Lepisosteus oculatus: one gene and its partner. The protein of the gene in region 1 purifies or fractionates together with the protein of each later gene. This does not show direct contact. Links are inferred from orthologs where the notes say so. Each region holds a gene or a part of one and is shown in the gene's direction. Other genes may lie near its edges.

Evidence for each region.
Region 2: the proteins of ccdc6b (region 1) and ppp4r2b purify together in Homo sapiens (co-immunoprecipitation; 3 studies listed by BioGRID and IntAct, counting the BioPlex papers as one, with this or other methods). This does not show direct contact. The link is inferred for Lepisosteus oculatus from reciprocal best matches to the Homo sapiens genes CCDC6 and PPP4R2.

What each region holds. Positions count from the first base shown.
Region 1 is NC_090699.1:22,930,794-22,938,548, reverse strand, and holds the start of ccdc6b (coiled-coil domain-containing protein 6b), read left to right. Parts: upstream 1-4,690; 5' UTR 4,691-4,936; coding exon 4,937-5,194; intron 5,195-6,418; exon of another isoform or gene 6,419-6,433; coding exon of another isoform or gene 6,434-6,472; intron 6,473-7,755.
Region 2 is NC_090699.1:51,221,149-51,228,315, forward strand, and holds the start of ppp4r2b (serine/threonine-protein phosphatase 4 regulatory subunit 2-B), read left to right. Parts: upstream 1-4,146; 5' UTR 4,147-4,262; coding exon 4,263-4,296; intron 4,297-4,825; coding exon 4,826-4,907; intron 4,908-7,167. UniProt on the Homo sapiens protein: Regulatory subunit of serine/threonine-protein phosphatase 4 (PP4). May regulate the activity of PPP4C at centrosomal microtubule organizing centers.

The sequences.
Region 1 (7,755 bases):
AAGTTGGTCACAGCCTGCTGTATACAGGGATTGTAATATGTATTGATTGTGCTATGGCAATAAAGAAAAATGCTTTCTGATTTTAATAATCTGTTTTTGTTGTGTCTGTTCAGGTGTGCAACTTTTTTTAGTGTCCTGTGAGGAGATGACTGGAAATCACAGCTGACCATCTACAAAAATCAGCAGAATTCAAAGTGTGTCTGCAGCTTCCACATTAACGCATGGTATTACGCAAGAGGACTTTTTGATTTAGCATGAGCATGAAAACTCACTTTATTTCAATGACCTGGAGTGTTAAATTAAAAACAAGATGTGCCATGGTGTCAATAAGACTTCTTAAGTTGAGGCGAGTCATTGAAAATAAAAAAACAACAATGGCAAAGCAAGCAATTACTGTGATTAACGATGGCACGAAAGCTGACCGGCAGGTGAAAACAGAGGAACACTTTTGAATCACCTTCTACACTCGCCTTATATTTTTCTTGGACCCATAATGTCAGGGTGTAAAATGCTGTTTCATTTCTTTTTAACAAGATTATCAGTGATTTTGCTGTATATAAATTACACTGTATAAATTCTCAAATAAGTAGCCTACATCTTGTGAAGGCACTGACTTAAAAGAACTTTAAAGTGCATTGGAATTGAATGGCGATGTTGAAATGGTTCCAATTTTAAAGGAAGGTTTGAGTGTTACTTCACAAATTCTTGTATAATTATCAGCAGGTATAATGTTTGTACATGAAAAAAAAATGCTAGCTTGATTTTACCAGAAGAAAGTTTCTTTAAATCTACCGCGACTTTAAATAATTCTCAAAATGGGAATATCTGTAGTTCTGTGAAAACATTTCTTCAGAGTACTAATATTTTGATGCATGCGATTCACCTTATTTTAATTACGATTTTTCTAAGTTTGCAAACAGTATATAACAACTTTTATCTGTGTACACACATAGCCCTTACATTTGTCACTATTGCCAGTTTTTTTAAAGAAAATATCCTGGAGACATCAACATGTGAATCAGGGGAGGGAGGGACTTCATTTTTCCTGCTTATAGAAGGGTTACTGCTTGCAAATCTACACTAAAAGGGCAGCTCCTGAAGGCTTAGGCTAGAAACACTATGAGAGAGAAATGATCCGAATGTATATGCTAGACTGGCACGCTGTAAAATTTACCTGTATCATGTGTATTGGCTATAAGATGTAGAAGTCTTTCTGTAAGCCGATTAATTGTAATCATTCTAGCAGTGTATTAATAGGTTTCTAAGGCTGCTGTGGTTTAAAAAAGGGCGTTTTTATTTGGGTTTTGGTGAAATATTTCCTTTTGTTGAATCTATTCATATGAAATCACCTAAAGCATTCATTGATAGTAGCTCTAATAACATATGTATGAAACAAACAACAAACACTGGATGATCTAGTTGATTATTTAAGCATAAAATAAATTGTGTTTAAACCCTGAAGCTGTGTGTTCATTTTAGAGTTGAGAATCTGTATATAACATATCTAGCATTTTTTAATAGCATATTACTTTGGAGAACTGTTGTATTACATTAGATTAGATTAGAGTAGGCTCTCTTAATTTGAAAAAATAGCCCTCTTACAAAATTTGTGATTTGTATATAACAACATGTTTATAAAAACATGGATACATTATACTGAAATCACTGCATAGGTCAACAAAAGACCAACAATATGTCATGAAACAGTTAGTGTCACTGTATTTTGCCTTTTTATATCTTTGAAGCATGGGGATGGAGGTTATTTAGCTTGGAGACATAACTGATTTAATCAAATGTATCCAAATAAATGTTAATTCACCAGATACAAAAAAATTTAGAATTAAACCACATAAAGAATGGATTAATGTAATAATTGTTTTGAAACATTGCATTTAAACACTTTGATTATGTTTTTTGGGGGAAAAAATCATAGTTCTATAACATTGAACTGTGTAGGACTGCAATTTCTGTGCAGTATTCTATTAAAAACTTTGAGAAACCCACAGTATGTTGATTTATATTTCGTTTACAATGGGATTTTTGGACTTCAAATATTTTTCAGCTGCAAAATTAGGAACTACATACTATTACAAAGTCCTGTAGGAAAGGAAGTGTGATTTCACAAGAAAAATATATTTCTACATTGCGTGAATATGGACCCATGCTAAAAGATTGTTTTTAAGGCACATAATACAGATCTTCTTAAACATTGTATGTATTGTATAAGTAGCATAGCAATGCTGTTATACATTTATTGACTTTGAGCTGTTGAATTTCATCCATAGCATTCATTTTCCTGACTCCTCTTTTTGTATGTCATACACACTACATTACAGCATAATCGCATTGTATTCATTATTGGTCAAATGTAAATCCTATCACAGTTTTTAAACAAAATACCAAATAAAGTTAATCAGTGAATAAAAGATGTTTGTTTTTCCAGAGCATGTTGGGCTTACAGGGGACATTTCTAAAATATGTAATAATTCCTTGTGTTTATACAGTACGTTTCATCCCAAAGTGATTTACATACAGTAAAGGACCCACTTCATCCACTACTGAAATGCAGCAATTACCTAGATAATGCAAGACCAAAGTTTTAATGACCAAGGAGATAGCACCTTGCTATAATGTCAGAGCTGATGGATGGCATCTCCTATTGTACAGTGTCCCCTTTCACCATGCTGAAGCATGGGTTTGGAATTCCTGGTCCAGAGGAAAAAGCACCACCTACTGGTCTACCAACACTATTTTCAACTATTTTGTGTGTTGGCACAGAACACATAGATTATAAAAACAAAATGATGAAGACGACTTGCAAATATGGTAAGTGATAAAATGATTGTGGGAAAAAATGCATATTGCAACACATATTGCCTCTGTGTGGCTCGGGTCTTTCCTTTCGAATGAAATCATTGCCGAAGGGAATATTACGCAGTTTTATGACTGACATGCGGGGTTCTCCGTATTCATTTGTTTTAGTGCTTGATCGAACCGAATTCCATGTGAGACGGCAAAACCGGTAATAGTTCTAAATGTCCAAGAGCTGTTTCAGCTGAAAAGTAACATATGTTGTTGTGAATAGACAGCAAGGGACCTGTGATTTAGTCGGAAGCTAAATTTAACTAAATACTACTAAGTGAATACTAAGTGATCTACTGAATACTAAGTGAGATTTTACAGAGGATGCATCAGGCGTCGAGAACAGCGCCCTGTCGCCAACAGTACATGATTCGAAAAGATAGAATATTGTTATTTGATCCCCACTTGTGTAGCATCACTGAAGTTGAAATACAGCGCAACATGCATATGCACGGTACTTTGGATCCGAACTCCCGTCCACAAATCGATTCACAACAAAATAATTGCAACAATATTTTCCTGCTTAATCCATTCTCGACTGCGCCAGTCATTTAATCTACTTTGAGCTGCACATAAAGAGAAATGCATACATTTGTTTTAAGGCTGGTTTAGAAGACGAATGATAAACGCCATTAAAAACTTTACTCCCCTGTATGAAATAGAAATTGACAGTTCTTGCCTAAAAATAAAGCGGGTTCTCACGCTGTCGTTTGAATCATTCCCTCTGTCCTTTGAATTATTAATAATAATAACCAAGAGATAATCAGTTATATATACATAATTATTTTATTTTGTACGTCACTTAAGAGTTAAAAGGACAGCGGAAATGCCACCACCGGTACTGAGGAGTATGAAATGATCACTGCCTCTTTTCTGTAGTCAGAATGGTTACTTCTGTAAATCAGGTTACAACATACCATTTTGGGGAGTAAAAACAGACACAGAGAACAAGTAACAGTAACAGGGAATGTGAGTGTAACATACAAACACAACGAACAGTACAATTTGGTAGCTGCTGACAAGATCATAAGGTCATTCTAACAGATCACAGCAAAGGCATTTTTACATCAACAATCAAATAATATCAAATAAAAAATGTGGTGAGATGATGAGAATAATAAGAAAATAAAAAAGTTAACGCATTATGAAAAAAAAGTTTTTTTAAAAAACCGAAAGATTACGATGATTGTGAAAGATTAGTGTATGAAAAAAACACTGTACTGAGTAGGTATCTCTGCTCTTCTGTCTCTGAAATAAGATGGAACATAATCCAAAAAAAACTATTACTATTTTAACATTTTATACATACAGTACATTTTTTGATAGACTACCTGTTTCATTTATCTCATGACTTATATCTTATTACATTGTTATGTTTATGTCAAGGGTATTTTCACATTTCTGTGCAATTGATCAGCTATGAGAGGCAGATACAATATGGAGACCTGCTACTCCTTTCCCTGTCTTTGTGCATGCACAGTTACGGATTCATGATTCAGAAATCAGGCCACATTTACAGTCGGCACTAAACCACTATTACGTGGTTTTTATAACATTCATACAAGTCTTTAGGGCGTGACACTCCGTGGAGCAGATAATCAATTGTAATTCCTTAGTTAAAGGAGAGGCGAAAAAAAAACAACTAACAACAATTCATGTTTGCCGTTTTATTCTTTTTCGTAAACAAGGCAATAATGTAGCTCTATTTAACAATGTCAAATTCGTTGCAGATTTTTGCAAACAGGTGCGGCCCCGGCGGTGCAGTACCCTAAAGGTTCGCTGACCTGTTCATTTTCAATATTTAATGTGCATTAGCTGCTGAGGGGGTGGGCATAAGAGTGCCTGGTATCTTCATAATCATTTTCGTCATTAGAATATCAATCGTAGAACATCAAACATCGAAGAAAAGGAGCTCAGTTTCTCTCGCCGTACCTCTTCGCCTGTGTCGTCGCTCTTGCGCGGGGTCGCAGTTCCACCTACGAGCGGGAGGGGTCGCCCTGCGCGCCGTTCCAGGCTTCTCCCGGCACTCCGCCCAGCTTGAAACGCAGCTGCCCCTCTCACTCGCTCGGCGAACATGGCGGACAGCGCAAGCGAGAGCGACACCGATGGAGCGGGCAGCAGCTCGGCCGCCCCGCCGTCTTCTACTTCTTCCTCGTCTTCCAGCAAGCCGGGCATCGTCATCTCCCCGTTCCGTCTGGAGGAGCTGACGAACCGGCTGGCGTCCCTGCAGCAGGAGAACAAAGTGCTGAAGATCGAGCTGGAAACGTACAAACTCAAGTGCAAGGCGCTGCAGGAGGAGAACCGGGACCTGCGTAAAGCCAGCGTCACCATTGTGAGTAGCAGCGGGGCTGTGTGCGGGGGATCAGGCGTGCGGACACATCATGGTCGCTAAAATGCGGCACACGGCGGGTGTACTGCGTTAATCCCCAGCCGAGCTTCGTTAAGTATCCATCTTTAAAACGAGAGTAGTAAGACTCTTGGTTGTCTGCCTGTGAACTCCTGTTTCGCCCCATTTTTTCACGAGAATGTATCGTTCAAGGCCTGGTCTCTCGACCCTCCCCCCCGCGCTGAATACTCCTTTTTTAGCCTCTCTGGAAGGCAGAAATCACACAGCAACGTTCACGGTACCGTAACTTAAAAACGGAATCGCGGACTGTGTCTGTAAGGGGACATTTCTGTGTTTCTCGGGGGCTCTAGCGAGGCCGCCGCTGTCCGAGCCTGGGCTTGAACAGGGGTGAGGGGAGCATCCGAGGGGTCTCATCCCTGAGCGAAGTGGAGCCCCGGCCGTGTTGAACTGCCCTTGTGTGTAGCACAGCGCTGTCGTCCCCGACCCTTCAAACAGTAAAAATCCCTGGGCAAGTAGAAATAGTCGGGCCTCCTGGTTTCCTCTTTATTTGTTCTGCTGTTAATAGACGAAACGCCATAAGCATGGCATTGTGTGCTTTAGCGGGGATTTGAGCACTGTTAAAATAAAAGCGTGGATCTTGTAGCTGAGAAATGTTCGCTTAAATGCTAATTATGTAAAGCGGTGTACTTTATTTTGGTTGAAAACGCTGCATGCCGTTCCTAGTGGCCTTTCAGATCCGGACCTTTTTTTTTTTTACAAAAGGAGTTCATCGAGTCATTTATTGAGGCATAAAGCGAGGCCAGTCATTGCTCAAGTTTTATTTTTTTACTGGATCATTCTTCTCTTCGTCCGACTGGAGTTGTGCCGGACATGGCAGTGATGGGAATCGGAATAATTGTTTCTACGAGAGACAGAATCACAGCAAAATGGTTGTCGGTTAGGTGTGCATATGTGCGAGAGCATCTCGTGTCTATACGCCGTCTACTTTTAAACACATTTCTGTACTTTTTAACGCCTTGTTCCTTTCTGGCGGTGTATCTACGTGTCTGTACTTTCAGATGCCCCGGCACAGGAAACCGTACGTGTAGTTTGCGGGTTAGCCCGTTGCCATGTGGATGTCTCTTTCATGGTCGTGTTTGGGTGGGGACTGCAGCACGTTGTGTCTTGGTGGGCGGTTGACAGCCCTGTGCCGAGAGTGACTGCTGTCGAAATCCGGCGTAATGTATGAACGTGCTGTGTAATTTTCACAGTGCCACCCGTGAGGTTAGTTTATACTTGCTCCGGCCGTTCACGCTTGCCGGCGTTCATTCTTTCTTGCAGTTATCTTGTTAACTTCTCACTGTGATATTTTAAAGCCAGCTTGATATCGGTGCCTTCATTTAGGGGCCGATCTCTTATCGAGCCCGAGGTGTACCGTGAAGAGAAAGGTGCTTCCGAAGTTTCTTTTTCATGCAGCCGTTGCTTCTTGTCTCTTAAATTTTCCATCTGTTTATAATGCAGTTGGTATCAGGAAGTGAGCTAATTGACGCCATTGTGTTTTGTGGTTTGGATTCAGCTGGAGTTTTCACAGTTGGCGTGTAGTTTTGACTTAATGTTTAATGTCAGGTTATAATAAGAGCAAACGTGGACATGGTGACATTTCCTGTACACCTGAGTCTTGAAGAATGTTGAATGAGTAGGTAATGTTTTGGACCTCAGGCTCAGACCCTTGTTAAAGTAGTTTGAAAACATTTGTTTTGTTTGACCCGATTATGGTTTTACTTCAGTGCAGTACGGTTAATCAGTAACACGCTGGTCCAAAAATACAGCTACCTTCTGCTTTCTGATGGTGAATGAAGCATAGTGCATGTGGCCTTTTGAGTTCAGTGAGTGCTACCTCATTCCTTAAAGCCAGAGCCACTTCTTGCTTTTTGAACACAAGTGAGGAATCTGGGTAGTTAAGTGTTTTCTGTCGTGTAATGTAGGTCCTTGTACATCTGCTTTGATTCCTGCTTTGTGACATGGCAATTTTTGGTAACCACATGACGAGTTAGAACCAAGGCAGGTGTAAGATAACCTATGTTTTACCTCAACAATGGGTTGTGCAAGCATGTGAACTGCAAATGCATACTGTTAATTCATCATAATCAGTAGTAATACAAAAGATCAAGGACAGTGGCCAAACTATTTATAACAGGAGAATTCTAGGTTACTGAGTTTGGTAAGTATGATGCAACTATGGGCGGAGCGGTGGCTCTGTGGCTAAGGATTTGCGCCCGTGGCTGGAAGGTTGCCGGTTCAAATCCTGCAGATTATGCGGGGAAAAAGACGAATTCCTAATGTAAGAAATTGTATATGGCTAATAAAGTGATCTTATCTTATCTTATGTTCCAGTGGTATTCAGGTTTTTACTCAGTCACCATCCCTTTAAATTCTGATGTTTTTGTCCAGCAAGAGTTAGCGACATGTCGTTACTGTACCGAAAGGTGTTTAGACCAATGTGTAAAAATAATGTGTCATAATGTCGGGAAATTGCTTTGTGCTTGTTCATTGTACACATTTGAAGT
Region 2 (7,167 bases), about 28 Mb from region 1:
TTTTATTCATTGTAATATTTCATTTGCAAGGTGCGTTCTGTGTTTTTATTGTAAGGCTTTCAGAGATGTGAAAGTACTGTTGGCTTTTCCTTGTTTGTGTGCCATCCCTCAACAGCAGAGTGCACAGAACTGGCAGCTGGCACACAACCAGGAAACATACCAAGAGATCAGTTCTGCTTTGTGGTCACACACAGTTACTTATGAGGCCTTGTTAAACATGTCATCCATTCATTCAGCTATTAATTTTTTCACAAGGACATACTGTGTCGCTATGTTTTATTTGCAATACAAATTCTTATACGTTTAGCAAGCCATTCACATATGGATGTATGGACAAGATATACCAAAACATCTGTGTCTTGTACAGAACCCAGTTTCCTGACGTGTGTGTCTGGAACAGGATGCCTAGCCATATTGTTAAAACTGTCTCTATCAGCTGTTTCAAGAAATGCTTGGATGAGATCTTGCGGTCAATTAACAACTACTAACCAAGTGAGCAAGAGGGCCAGCTGGCCTTCCCTCTCCTCTCACCAATCTGGTGGTCCCTGTGTTTCAATGTCACGGAGGTTGGCTCTGGAAAAATCCTTAGTATAATCCTTAAAGTGGTCCAAAAGAAGTATTGCTCAAAAATCTGTGCCTGTTTTAGGTTGAATATTTCAGTTTGAACAGGCAGTATCAGTGAATGTGAATGAAGTATTGGTCCTCATCTAAACACATTTCAGGAGTATTTCTGTATGCAAGTTCTACTAAACTTTGCATACTATTTGTCTTTTAGACTTCCATTCATCTGTCCAGTTTTTAACTGTTTCTTCCAGTTCAGGATTGCGAGGGAAGCTGAACCCTATCACGGCAAGGAATGGGCACAAGGCAGAGTACACCCTGGACAGGACATCAGTCCATTGCACGGTAGAAAGAAGCACACAAATTTTCAGGGCCAATTTTCCCAGAAGCTGAATGATCTACCAGTATGTTTTTGGACTGTGGGAGGAAACCGGAGCACCTGGAGGAAACCCATGCAACTCTGGGGGAGCAAACTCCACACAGATAGCAACCCAGGAATTGAACCCACAACCCCGGCGCTGTGCCACTCTGCTTCCCTTTGATACTTTTATTTTCCAAAATAAAGCAAATTTTAGTGGATTGCAGATAAAACTATTATAGGCAGGTAATTTCCATATCCAAGCCACATTAATTTATCTGGCCAAAACTTAGCAGACTAGAAAGCAGGATCCCCCTGGGGTGTGAGATTACCCCAGCAATGATGGTGTCCACTTATACAGTGGGGTGGTGCAATTAGGGGTAAAGTACCTCACTCAATTTAAAACAGTAGTGAGACCCACAATCCAGACATTTGCCTGATACACTACTGCTCCCTAATATTATCATAGAAGTTTATTTTGTGACTTGGGAAGGGTTTAATCCACTTCTTCCAGGAGGCTCTGATTTTGTATAATAAAAGGTATTTTGGAGTATTTATATTAAATTAAGAACTGTAAGTGTTGTTTATTTTTTCAGCAACTTTAATTTTCTTTTACCTCAATATTTTGTGTTAGTTGCAAGAATTTAAAAAAATTGCAAAGTACTGAGCACTGTTGCTTTTTTCAGTGGATGGAAATCATCTTTTTGTATATCAGTATCAGAATTTAGTTTATTGTCCACACAGAGTGGGATTTTTCTATTGACCTCACTGAGACAACAAATGCAGAAAACATAAAACATCTAATGCACTGGAGTTGTATACAATAAATCCCACATAAACAACAATACAATAAAAAACATATAAGATTCAAATTTGTCCATACATATAAATATACTGTAAATACTGTGCTCTGAAGGAGCTCATACATCAGAGTTTAAAAGAGTAATGACACTCTGAGCAAATGAGTTCTTAAAAATGTGTTTTTGTAGCCTTCAGGATTCTAAACTGTTGACCAGATGGTAGTTTTTCAAACCAAGAGTGTAGTGGGTGTGAGGCATCATTTACTTTTCCTGCAAACACTCTTTGTATACAAGTGGTTCATCTGGTTCCATTTCTGAACAATACTTTTGCTGCTCATATTTATAATCCTTCAGTGCCTAGCTGTACACCTGGTACCAAGAATCCCATACCAAGTAGAGATGTTAAAAGAGAGCACATTCCCTCCCAGACTTGTATAGACTATCTTTGGATGTGCTTGCTTTCATCAAAGCTCCTCAACCTTCTCAAGAGAAATAATCTCTGCATGGGTTTTTTTTAAAAAAACCATGCTCTGTGTTGTCTAAGAATTTTAGTTTGTTATCAGTGTACTGTATGTACCCAGATACTTAAAAGGAAGAATGTCCACAAGCTGACAATTTATATTTATAGGCTGAAGTGTGGCTGGCTCAAATCTGCCTAATTACAAATTGGTGTAGCACTAATTCTTTTGTTTTGCTGACATTTATTTCCAAAGTGCTTGACTGGCTCCACTTAATAAGAGTTAATACTTTGTCAAAGTAAATGGTACTGAAGAGAAATATGAAACATACTTCTCATCCCCACCTACAAGTAACACAGAAACAAACAAAAAAAACATTTGAAATACAGGCTTTTTCTGTTGGCTTTACATCTAAAATATTTTAAATATTAATATCATAATGTATTTTATTGGGATTTTTGCCACAGATTTACACAAAATACACTATAATGTCAAAGTGAATACAAAGTTCTCTCCTAACCCTCCTACATTAACTAGAAATATACAACATAAAATATCCGATTATTACATTCTGTCTATTGACATCAAATTTAAGACAGGGTATAGTCCTATAACTCATTGACTGCTGAAACACTAGCAACATACAGAACACAATGCAATAAAAATGGCCCACTCTGCTTGTAGTTGTCAATGGTTAACCTAAGTCACTGACTGAAAAATTTCAACTCAGCAATAATTCATGTGGGGAGGTGAATGAACAGCTGTTCAAGAGAACAGCAAATAGATGCTACTTTACAGTAGCATGCTTACTATCAATGTATGGTACAGTAGACGGGGCTTGACTGCAATAGTTTCTAGGTAAGTATCACCAAAAGTGAAAATTCATAAAGACAAATCATCTGAAAAACTGTGAGTCAGTCGAGTTGGTAGTGCTATGAGCCTTCTAAAAATGTATTACAATGATGGGATTAGTTTATACAGCAGAAAAGCAAAATGTCCATGGTAGCTTAAAGTACAGCAGTGCCTCCTGTGTGAAATTAAAAAATAGATAAAGCACTTAATGGCACAAAAGTAGTAAGTAGAAAAGAGGTGCACAATTATAAAAGCCTCCCTTAAACTACAATAAGCATGTGCAGGGGTGCCCCTAGCAGTCTTCCTTGGGGGTGCAGCAAAGTCTTCAGTTCTACATACTATAGATGCACCTCATCCTATCTTGTACATGTTCACATAAAGTAACCTTATCAAGCCCACGTCTCAGTATTGCACACTTCTCAAATGATACACATTTAGCAATATTAATATTGCAATTACAATGTAGCCTTTTGGAAACAGTAATAAGCCTCCTACATTTGATGCAGTACAATTAAGGTAGTACTAAATGCAGTAATGCTGTAGTGTAAATAACTGCAGGCTTACAGAACTGTCACTCTGTTGTAACTCTACAACACTACTTCAATACTGCAGTTTCTATTTTTTTTATTGTACAGTGACTTGTTTTATAGACATAGCTTATTAAAAGCAATTACATTGAAAATGGCACTAGTGAATACATATTTAGAAAATATTTAGAAAAATATCTATTCAGAAAAAAACGAATTAAAATTATTTTCTCTTGAAATTTAATGATTCAAGAAGTTGTTCTGTTAAAGATTTTCGTGCTGCACGTTGTCTTGGATAATGTCTTCCAAATACAACAACGACAGTATAGTAATAGAAAATCTTTAAGCAAAAAGGCTACCTTAAAGCTATTGACTACACGGCTGCAAAAGAAGAACCTAGCAAACTTCAGAGAAGTCGCAATCCCCTGAGAAGCAGTTATTGATGGGTCTCTCCGCGACTGGCTGGAACCAGCTGCCCGGGTTTAATGGTGTTTCCAGTAGTACAGTAGTGAAACGAGGTAGGATGAGCGCCGCCTGGCAGTTCGCACATGCTCAGTGTGTGTGCAGGCAGGCAGTGACGACACGGGCGCCATATTGAAGTGCTGATTTTTTGTCTCGGACGCTGCTTGCCAGCTTTCTGTTTCCTGTTGGATTCAGGAGGAGAAAGAGACGGAGTGAAGAGCTTCAAACATTTCACGCCACAATCATGGAAATCGACACACTTCTGGAGGCCCTGAAAGGTTGTGAAACGTAGACGTTACTGTCTTTTTCGTTCCGGCATTCGAAAAAGTGTGAATAGAAGTGGTCGGAACGGGATTAGGATTGAAGAGTAGTAAGGTGTTGAATGTGGCTGTTGTTGTGTGTGCAATTTTAGAATAAATTTAACTAAGGGCTATTTGGATACCTTATTATACACTTTAAAACAATAGTCTTCTCTCAGGGAAGTGTTTTGAATCGTTTTGGTGTAGTCTAGTTGTGTTATAATGTGCACTTTTAACCCCAAGCCGGTAACCAACGTTTGTAGCTGTTGTAAAACTACATGCTCAAATTCAAACATTTTAACTTTAATCGTGTGTTTTTCTTCATGTTGCGCCGGGAAAGTTTGAGAATTTCCTGCAGACAGCTGATCCTGATGTGGAGTTTTATTTTGCTAGTTCCTGTCAGTGGCTGTAACTTTCCTTGCAGCATACGGTTAACAGACACCTAGGCTGTGTGGGACCCAACTGATGTGGCTCTTACTTTTCCCCCTTTATCTGTCTTTATGTGTAGATTTTGAGAAGAAAGGCAAGAAGGATGTGTGTCCGACGCTGGACCAGTTTCTATGTCATGTCGCAAAGACTGGGGAGACCATGTAAGTATATTTACTGACGAACCGCACGCAAGAGGCCTAATGTGTCTCAGGAGTAGAGTAACAGACATGGTAACGACTGTCTCCCCAACGGGGATCGAGAGAACTGCAGTTTGGATATACATGTCTCATGTCTGTAGTAACCTAGACTACTGCTGGCTTACTTTGTATCCGAAATATCTGATCAAATTAGTCTTTGAAGAGGACAGCCTGCTGAGAACACCGCTATATACTTCTAAAGGGATCAGGGGAACCTCTGGTTTTAAACACCTGTTAGCAAAACAGGACCGTATAAAAGCAGATGTGTAGTTATGTGAGCAGTTAGAAATTAAACAATATATGGCACAATAGTCGTTTAATTTTGTATCTGATCCGTAGTAGGTGGGAGAAATGCTGATTCAAGTGTAGTTTTGTTACAGTCTTTGGATAAAGATATTGATCAGTGCCCTTCGATTTAAGTTTCCGTGCTTCATTTAGATGGAGGAATCCTAGCATTGTTTAATTTCTCACCTGAAGGAGAGAATATTTTATTGCTTGCAGTGATGTATTGCAATATGTAGAATATATGAAAATATGTGTTGGAAACAAGTTTTTAATGCACGTCTTAATGCAGTCTTTATTTAGAGCACTTTCCAAGTGAAAAACAACTCCTTACACTCTGCAATATTACACATTGCACCAAGCTGACCTTTTTTGTATTTTATGGTAGTGTTTTGGTTTAAGTCACGGTGTTGCACTGACTGTGACCTTTGCATTGTGTGTGCACTTTTGTTCCTCTTATTTCATTGATGCCCCTCCTTCCTAGATTTGAACAAATATATAGGACATTTTTTGCTCTTTCATCAAGAAGCTAGTATGGCTAATACACTTGATATTGTGCTTAACAAGGGATTTAAATATACATTTTCCCTTAAAACACCCCTTAATCTATCATCATGCCCAAAGTGTTTTCTTAATTCCTGAAATTGAAATTGGAAGTGAAAATAAACTTGGCTTTACAAAACTGGAATTTTAGATTTTCTATATTTTTTTTGGCCCGTTTACGAAGCTGAGGTGGATCGGTGATCTGTTCAGTGTTATTTAACAATCTGGTTGTAAACTTTACAACAGCTGAACTGGGGCATATGAGCTGTCACTTTAGACATTTTAATTGGGTCAAATTTGAAATTTGTTTATTAATCGGTGAAATAAGTTTCTGCAAAATATTTAAGCAGATTGTAGTGCTGTTACTAAGTCACTGATGATTTACACTAAGCCATGTCCATGTGTAATTATTAAACAACTGTAAGTAAAGGGAAATAAATATAAATTTTGTGTTGGTGACCCTGGTTTATTTGTTATGTAAGGCATAGTGAATTTTATGATTAAGATTGCAAAAGTAGCATATTGTGTTTTCTGAATACTTTTGAATAAAATTCAAAACCAGGCCTTAGATTGCTGTTAATTGCATCTCAACTAATTCGTGTGAATATTTAAAGCATTTTAGATGCTTCTCGTTATCTACATTTGTAAATTATGCCTTATTAAATAGTTAAAACTAGTTTAGTATGCTGTAGTTCTTTAAAGTAGACTTAAGTCACACTTAAGCAAATTAACTCAAGATTTATATTAACTTATTATTGTACCTTTGATCAAGTTTTCAGACCATTTTAGTCCTCATATTAGGATGAATGCGTTATAGTGAACAAAACTAGTGTAATGCCTTTTTTTAAATTAAACTGTATAGGCCTAATTATAGGCCTTTCAGTTAGGTTGATATAAGTAGCAGCGTAGCAGTAAAGTGAGCTGCTTACATAGTGGACTGTAGATGTATATCCATATAGGTAAAACAATATAATAAGCAGAAATCTGGCAGTCCTTTTTAAAGAAATGCAAATGGCAGTTTTTGTTAGACATTGACCGTTTTGTTTTGCAAGTCTTTGTGGAGAGTTAATTATATAGCACACTTTACACATGTTATTTTGTTTGCAATTATACATTCCTTAATATATAATTCCATGTGTTTTGATGATTTTCAAGATTTCACTCTTATAAAAATCTTGTTCATAAACAAGAAGTTTGTCTCAGAATGAATAGCAAGTCAAAATACACAGAACTGTCCTGGATTTTATTGTCTAATACAACGATGTTTGGTTCATCCAAGTGTGTTGCAAAAAACATTTTCTGACTGTACAGATGTAAAAAAAAATACACTAGGATTATTCTGAGGATTACATTGCATGTAATTGGAAGGTCCTGCCTTTGGTTTAGAATGCAGGCCATC